Linked DNA regions of Oryctolagus cuniculus. The protein of the gene in region 1 interacts with the protein of each later gene in a pairwise test. Links are inferred from orthologs where the notes say so. Each region holds a gene or a part of one and is shown in the gene's direction. Other genes may lie near its edges.

Region 1 (3,804 bases):
GTGTGGCCTTGGGAGTCTGGTTCGAATCCAGTGCTGCTGCTGGCAGGTGACTGGAAGAGGAGCATAATTGAATTTCTCCCAAAGGATTAGGCACAGGTGGAACACTCAGTACTGGGAGAATGTGTGTTTCCCACTCTGGTCTCCTGGCCCCTGGCCCAGCTGCCCTGTCTTCTGTTCCTTGGGGGGCCTTTCTTCCCTCCACCAGTCCCAGCCACCTTTGCACCTCTTCTCTCTAGACCCCCCTCACACCACCCCTCCTGCTGGCTTAATTTCCCTAAACATCCATACCCCTTCTCACTTCATTTCCTGCTGGCAGGAAGAGGGAGGTGGGAGGAGAGGGGCTGGGGTGGGGGTGAGTCCCCTCCTGTACCACCCGACCCTCCCTTCACCCTCTCTACCCACCCTCCCAGCCTGCAATGTGACTATCCACAACCGCTGTAAAGACACCCTCGCCAACTGTACCAAGGTCAAGCAGAAGGTGAGAGGGTGGGGAGGGCAGCGGGCTGGGGGAGAGGGTAGTGAGCGTGCGGTACCCTCTTCCATTCATCCCTACCCTGTGTGCCTCAAGCCCTGTCCTCACCATGGGCAGCCCAGACCCTCAGCCCCAGGCCTCCTGCTGCACCTGCTGCAAATGCAGCCCCGCAGCCCTGGGCCACAGCGCCAGTGCCTCCCCGTGCCTGTGGGGGCGACCCGTGGGTGATGGCTGTTCTTGGTGTCTCTGTCTTGCAGCAACAGAAAGCTGCCCTGCTGAAGAACAACACTGCCTTGCAGTCTGTGTCTCTCCGCAGTAAGAGTGAGTAGTGGCCCCAGGAAGACCCCGGACCCCAGGCTGCTCGGCCCGTGGGCTCTGCTGCCCCCCTGAGGTCACTCACAGGCACAACACCGCTCTCCTCCTTGGGGAGCTGGGAGCAGGGACACGGGATAGTCCAGACCCTCTGGCTCAGAGCCTGGACAGGAGGACCCAAATGGGGTTGAGGCTTGGGATGGCCAGTCCCCTGAGCCCGGCCGCACCCCTGTGCTGTTGCTGATGTGCTCAGCATTGGCGACCTGTCATGGCTCGATTCAGACAGCATTGTTCCAGGGGAGCCAGGTGCTAGGGCAAAAAGAGCCGAGCCCCAGACCCTGCTCATCCACTGGCCGAATCCCCGCCCCTTGTTGAGCTTCACTTTGCTCATGGGCTTGCTCCCAGAAAGAGACAAGACAAGGTTCTTGGGGAGCATTGAAGTAAGGTGGCTTTGTCCTCACCGCTGCCACCACGTCCCCTGGACAAGAGCCGAGGAAGCTGGGAGGCCTGTGTCCTGCGAAGGCACCAGTGTTAACATTTGCCCTCTTGGTCTCTGCACCCCCAGCCACCATCCGAGAGCGGCCCAGCTCTGCCATCTACCCCTCGGACAGCTTCCGGCAGTCCCTCCTTGGCTCCCGCCGCGGCCGCACCTCCCTGTCCTTAGCCAAGAGCGTGTCCACCACCAATATTGCTGGGTGAGCCCCTGCTTGGGAACGGGGCAGCCAGGCGGGCCAAGAGCGCGGCAGTGGAGCCTGAGGTGGGGGGCGCGGAACGGTCCTTTGACATGGGGTGGGGGGAGGCTGCCTCTGGGATCCTGGCTGTGCTGGGGGATGCCAACAGCCCCAATTCCTTCAGCCATTTCAACGATGAGTCTCCCCTGGGGCTGCGCCGCATCCTCTCGCAGTCCACGGACTCCCTCAACGTGCGGAACCGGACGCTGTCGGTGGAATCCCTCATTGACGAAGGTGGGTGGGTTGGCGAGGAGCGGCAGCTGGGAAGCAGCCTGGCAGGGGGTCCCGGGAGGAGGACTCGGCTCTGAGTTGCTGCCCCGGCTCGTGCCCAGGTGCAGAGGTGATCTACAATGAGCTGATGAGTGACTTTGAGATGGACGAGAAGGACTTCGCAGCTGATTCCTGGAGCCTGGCCGTGGACGGCAGCTTCCTGCAGCAGCACAAAAAGGAGGTGATGAAGCAGCAGGATGTCATCTATGGTGAGCCAAGTCCGCCCTCGCATCCCTGCCTTCACCAGGTCCTGCCCGTCACATCCTCTCTGCCCACCACCACCTGTCGAGGCCCTTCCCCTCTTTCCCTGCGGGTCGCCGTGCTGCTGCCTGGCAGCCCAGTGCAACCACTGTTGCTGTCGGTCTCCGAGGCCCTGTCTTTGTCCTTTCTCCAATTCCTTCCTCAGTCTTTTAATATTTATTTTATTTATTTGAAAGGCAGAGTTACAAAGAGGAGAGATAGCAAGGGGGAAATCTTCTGCCTGCTGGTTCACTCCCCAAATGGCCACGATGGCCAGGGCTGGGCCAGGTCAAAGCCAGGAGCCAGCAGCTTCCTCTGGCTTTCTCAGTGTGGGTGCTGGGGCCCAAGCACTTGGGCCATCCTCTGCTGCTTTCCCAGGCACATTAGCAGGGACCTGGTTCAGAAGTGGAGCATCTGGGACTTAAACTGGCATCCATATGGGATGCCGGCATCGCAGATGGGAGCCTAACCCATTACCTGTTAACACCACAGTGCCAGCCCGCAGTCTTTGTTCTGTGCTTATCCCGGAGCTAGGGAAAGCCGGACGTGTGGAAGACAACGTGGTCCTTGCTCTGAAACAACTTACAGCTTGCAATGCCAAAGCATAACTACAGATAAAAGATTATTAGAGAATGACCTAAGATCCTAGTAATGCAGAATGTTAAGCTGGTCTGGGCCTTGAAGACCTGTGGGTGCCCTGAGGTCCCTATTAGCCTGCAGCACCCCACCCACAGTGGCCATGCCAGGCGGAGGAGGCCAGATGTCCCGTTGTGCCCACAGAGCTAATCCAGACAGAGCTGCACCACGTGAGGACGCTGAAGATCATGACCCGCCTCTTCCGCACGGGGATGCTGGAAGAGCTGCAGCTGGAGCCCGGAGTGGTCCAGGGCCTGTTCCCCTGCGTGGACGAGCTGAGCGACATCCACACGCGCTTCCTCAGCCAGCTGCTGGAGCGCCGCCGCCAGGCCCTGTGCCCTGGAAGCACCCGCAACTTCGTCATCCACCGCCTGGGTGACCTGCTCATCAACCAGGTGGGACGAGTTCCTGGAAGGACGGGTAGCCAGGGTGGACAAACTGGACGGGCTGGGGAAAGGGGTCGTGGTGTCCGGGGGCGAGCTGGCGAGGCGGGAAGCTGGCCCGTGTGGCAGGAGGCCGGAGGTGGGTCCAAGGGAGAGGGTGTGACATGGGGGAGTGGGGGGTGCTGACACAGTCTGTCCCCGATGTCCAGTTCTCCGGCCCCAGCGCGGAGCAGATGCGGAAGACCTACTCGGAGTTCTGCAGCCGCCACACCAAGGCCTTGAAGCTCTATAAGGAGCTGTATGCCCGGGACAAACGCTTCCAGCAGTTCATCCGGGTGAGCGAAGCCCTCCAGGTGTGGGGGGGCAGTCGGGGTCCGAGCCCGTGTGTGCCCGTCCACTCGCAGGCGCCGTCGGCTTCGGCATTGAGGCAGCCCTCTGTGACAGGGCAGGGCCCTGTGGGTGCCCAGGCACGGCGGACTCCTCTGGTTGGCCCCCATGGCCCTGAACCCCGCCTCTTCCTTGCAGAAAGTGACCCGCTCTGCGGTGCTAAAGCGGCATGGGGTGCAGGAGTGCATCCTACTGGTGACTCAGCGCATCACCAAGTACCCGGTGCTCATCAGCCGCATCCTGCAGCACGCCCACGGTGAGGGGGAGGGGCAGCGAGAGAGGGCTCCCTGGGATGACCCCAGGGAACTGGGGCTGGGGGCATGGGGTGAGCTCAAGACCCGCTGGGAATTGGGCTGGAATGAAGCCCGCTGTG
Region 2 (3,708 bases), on another chromosome or scaffold:
GTGTAACAATAAAGGTCGGAGGAGGAGTGTGTGCTTCCCAGGCCAGGACGGGCTTGGTGGTGAGGATGGGGGTGGCAGAGGGCAGAGCTGGCGGCCTGCAGAGTGGGTGGCCTGGGGACTGTACATATCCTGGTCTGGCTTTGTGGAAGGAGTAGAGCTCCCCAGATGAAGGCCCGCACTTGACTGATGCGAATGAGACATCTGTTTAGCGTCCATTTATCCCATGTTCACTCAGCACGTTCTAAATGTCAGATGCCACAGCGAAGGGGGGGGCACACAGGTAGGGCCCACCTAATCCCTGACGGGCTGTGCGGGCAGGAGGGGGTGGGTGTCAAGGTAAAGGGAAGTCTCACCTGGTAGGCACAGAAGAGAAACGGAGTGAAGTGGAGGCGGCCCTGCTGGGTGACGTGCAGGGATTTCAGAGCCAAGGGGGCAGTGGGCGGAAAGGCAGAGAGAAGCCTTGACATTTTTCTTGGGAGCCTACCTCGTGTCATTAGCTGATAAAGGGAGCCCAAGAGGTTTGGATGCGGGAAGTTTTCGGTTCTGGGGAGAGGGCAGGAGAAACTGATTGGCACGGCGCGCCACCAAGTGTTTGCTGCCCCCTCGTGGTCTCACGGAGTGCTCTGGCTCCAGATCCCTTTCACCCGCCTCTGTCACCGCACGTGTGTGCCCTGTCAGCGAGTTCAAACTGGCCTGAAACCTGGGAGTCATCCTACTTCTCATCCAGTCTTCACGGAACCTATCTAATAGTAGCTCCCAATTTAATCCTTTCTCTATCCCTACTGCCCTTTTCTCTGGTTCATTAATCCAACAAAGAATGTAACGAATACTCGAGCGCCTGTTAAACGCGGGGCACTGCACTAGGCACCGAGAGCAGAGCTCGCCGGCGTCTGCGGCTCGATTTCTCCCACCACTCCCTCCCCTGCGAAGTGAGGCCTGAGCGAGGTGTGGACAAAATCGGCTGGACCGGCCCCTGTTGAAAACCCTTCGTGGTTCGCCGGTGCCCACAGGATGAGATTACAGCTCCTAACTGGGTGACCAAGGCTCTGACCCGCACAGCAGCACGCGGTATTTCTAAAGCCACTCCTAGCTGAACCTTCTGCTTCCCCTTTGCGGGATACTCAACTGGTGACGCCAGCCTCCCAGCGCTGTGGCCGCTTCTCTCACCCACTGAGCTCTCTCCCCGCCACTAGGAGTGCCCTTGACTCGGGCGTAACAGCTGAGGGGTGGGGGCGTGTCCCCAGGCGCCCGAGCTCCTGGACCAGCTCACCCCAGGACGTTTTGTAGCCCATTTAGCGGCCCCCGCAGAGCCACCAACGGCGGCCCCGAAAAACCCCGCGGGGCACGCCCCTCCTCAGGCCCCGCCCCCGCCCGGCGTGCGCGGCCCCGCGGCCTCGGCGCGCTCCCGGCTCGCTCGCCATCTTGGCTCCCGATCCAGCGAGACGCGGCGGCGGCGGCCGTAGGGGCGGTGAGAGCCGGCACCTGGCGGGAGCGGGGCTCTGGATGGTGGGGGAGACGGGACGCCGCAGCGGCTCGCGGGACCATGGAAGCCGCCGGTGGCGATGGAGACGGCCGAGGCCGGCTGGGAGTCGCCTAAGCAGCCTTCTGCGTCGTGCTCTCTCTGAGTTTCTAAGTGACTTGGTTGATACCGAGCGACCCTGGGAATCCCGGGGGAGGAATGCTCAGCCTTGTCTTACGGATCCCGTCGTTGGGGGAGGGGGAGCACTTGAGGTTCTCGGCCGTGCCCGGAGGAGCCTGGGGCGAAGCGGCGTGGCCCTGCCCTGTGGGAACATGGAGTGAGGGGGCCTTGGCTCTGTCCTTGTGGGGAGGAGCGTTCCGTCGTGTTCTTGAGAGGGAGAGAGTGGTGAAGGACCCCTCAGAGCCCAGGATTAGAGGGGCCGGGTCCCAAAGAGCCCAGTGTTTGCGGCCTTGTCTCACGGACTCCGGGATTGGGGGGCGGGTGCTGATGGGGTGCATCCCTAAACGGGGCGGGGCCGGCACGCCCCTGTGGTGAGAAGCCAGGGAGGCGGGGATCTGACCCTGGTCCTGGGAAGTTTGGGATGAGGAGCAGCGCCGGGCTGGGAAGGGGGTGGAGGGCGGCCTGGGGCGCACTGCCTAGGCACTCATCTGATGCTTCCCTGCAGTGGGCGGCGAGAACCGAACCGCAGACACCGCAGCATGCAAGATGGAGCACTACCGTAAGGCCGGCTCTGTGGAGCTCCCAGCACCGTCCCCGATTCCTCAACTGCCTCCCGATACCCTCGAGATGCGGGTTCGAGATGGCAGCAAAATCCGCAACCTGCTGGGGCTGGCGCTGGGCCGCTTAGAGGGCGGCAGCGCAAGGCACGTGGTCTTCTCAGGGTCTGGCCGGGCCGCAGGGAAGGCTGTCAGCTGTGCGGAGATTGTGAAGCGGCGGGTCCCAGGCCTGCACCAGCTCACCAAGCTGCGATTCCTGCAGACTGAGGACAGCTGGGTCCCAACCTCACCTGATACCGGCCTAGACCCCCTCACAGTGCGCCGCCATGTGCCTGCAGTGTGGGTACTGCTCAGCCGGGACCCCCTGGACCCTAATGAGTGTGGCTATCAGCCTCCAGGGGCACCTCCTGGTCTGGGCCCCATACCCAGCTCCAGCTGTGGCCCCCGACCCCGAAGAAGAGCTCGAGACAACCGGTCCTGAAGATCTGCTGAAGGGCTGTTCTCCAGGCCCGAATGCCCCGTGACTGCTCAGCGTCCCCAGCAAGGCTCTGGTTCACAGAGGCGGGCCTCTTCCTGCTTCCCATTCCCTCTGGCATGTGGGAAGGGACTGCTAATGAAGTGACAGGTGCGGACTGTCATCTGCCAACGTCTAGATTGCCTTCTACCTACAGTGTGTCTAATCTGTCTGTGACAGAGGTCCAGGGAGGGCGTCAGGAAATAAAGGTTCTGCCCATTTGTCTGATGAGCCTCTGCTCAGCTGCTGTGTGGAAGTGGGACTAAGAACGGCACTCTCTGCCCCTCCTGCTGAGAGCCCGCGGGCTGCAGACAGGAAGAGTAGGCCCACGCTGGTGCTGGGATGGTCTGTGTCCGTAAGAAGCCTCAGGCAGGAAGCCACCTGGGCGCACAGCACTGTAGGAACATTAATTGGTATTATTATTAATGTCCCAGTATATAGAGATGCCTTTTTCTGTCTTAAAAACACCTCAAGGGCAGGCATTCTGGCATAGCAAGTTAAACCTCACTTAGGATACATTCCTTAGCAGAGTTCCCGGTGCAAGTCCTGGCTACTCTGCTTCCCATCCAGCTTCCTGCTAACATGCCTGGGGGGCAGCAGATGATAGTCTGAGTGCTTGGACGCCTGCCACCCATGTGGGAAACCTGGAAGGCATTCTGGGTCCTGGCTTCAGCCTGGCCTGCCCTGACTTGTGGGTATTTGGGGAGTGAACCAGTGGATGGACAATCTTTCTGTCTTTCCCTCTCTGTCACTCTGCTTTCCAAATAAAATGTTTAAATTTTTACTTGAAAGGCAGAGTGATAGAGATCTTCCATCCGTTGGTTCACTCCCCCAGTGGCCATAAGGAAGCAGGACTCACATGGGATGCCAGCATTGCAGCTGCACCACAGCCCTGGCCTCAGTAAAAGTTTCTAAGGTTTTGTTTTGAAGGAGGGAGAGACACAGATCTTCCACCTGCTCATTCACTCCCTGGATGGCCTCAACTGAGGCCAGCAGTG

Evidence for each region.
Region 2: the proteins of ARHGEF2 (region 1) and RPP25L interact in binary tests that used the Homo sapiens proteins (3 or more experiments, as listed by UniProt). The two-hybrid records come from large-scale screens. The link is inferred for Oryctolagus cuniculus from reciprocal best matches to the Homo sapiens genes ARHGEF2 and RPP25L.

The regions. Positions count from the first base shown.
Region 1 is NC_091438.1:42,726,245-42,730,048, forward strand, and holds part of ARHGEF2 (rho guanine nucleotide exchange factor 2), read left to right. Parts: intron 1-410; coding exon 411-478; intron 479-729; coding exon 730-793; intron 794-1,349; coding exon 1,350-1,479; intron 1,480-1,639; coding exon 1,640-1,749; intron 1,750-1,847; coding exon 1,848-1,994; intron 1,995-2,805; coding exon 2,806-3,056; intron 3,057-3,253; coding exon 3,254-3,379; intron 3,380-3,569; coding exon 3,570-3,687; intron 3,688-3,804. UniProt on the Homo sapiens protein: Activates Rho-GTPases by promoting the exchange of GDP for GTP.
Region 2 is NC_091432.1:197,632,773-197,636,480, reverse strand, and holds RPP25L (ribonuclease P protein subunit p25-like protein), read left to right. Parts: upstream 1-1,315; 5' UTR 1,316-1,468; intron 1,469-2,144; 5' UTR 2,145-2,185; coding exon 2,186-2,677; 3' UTR 2,678-2,941; downstream 2,942-3,708. UniProt on the Homo sapiens protein: May be a component of ribonuclease P or MRP.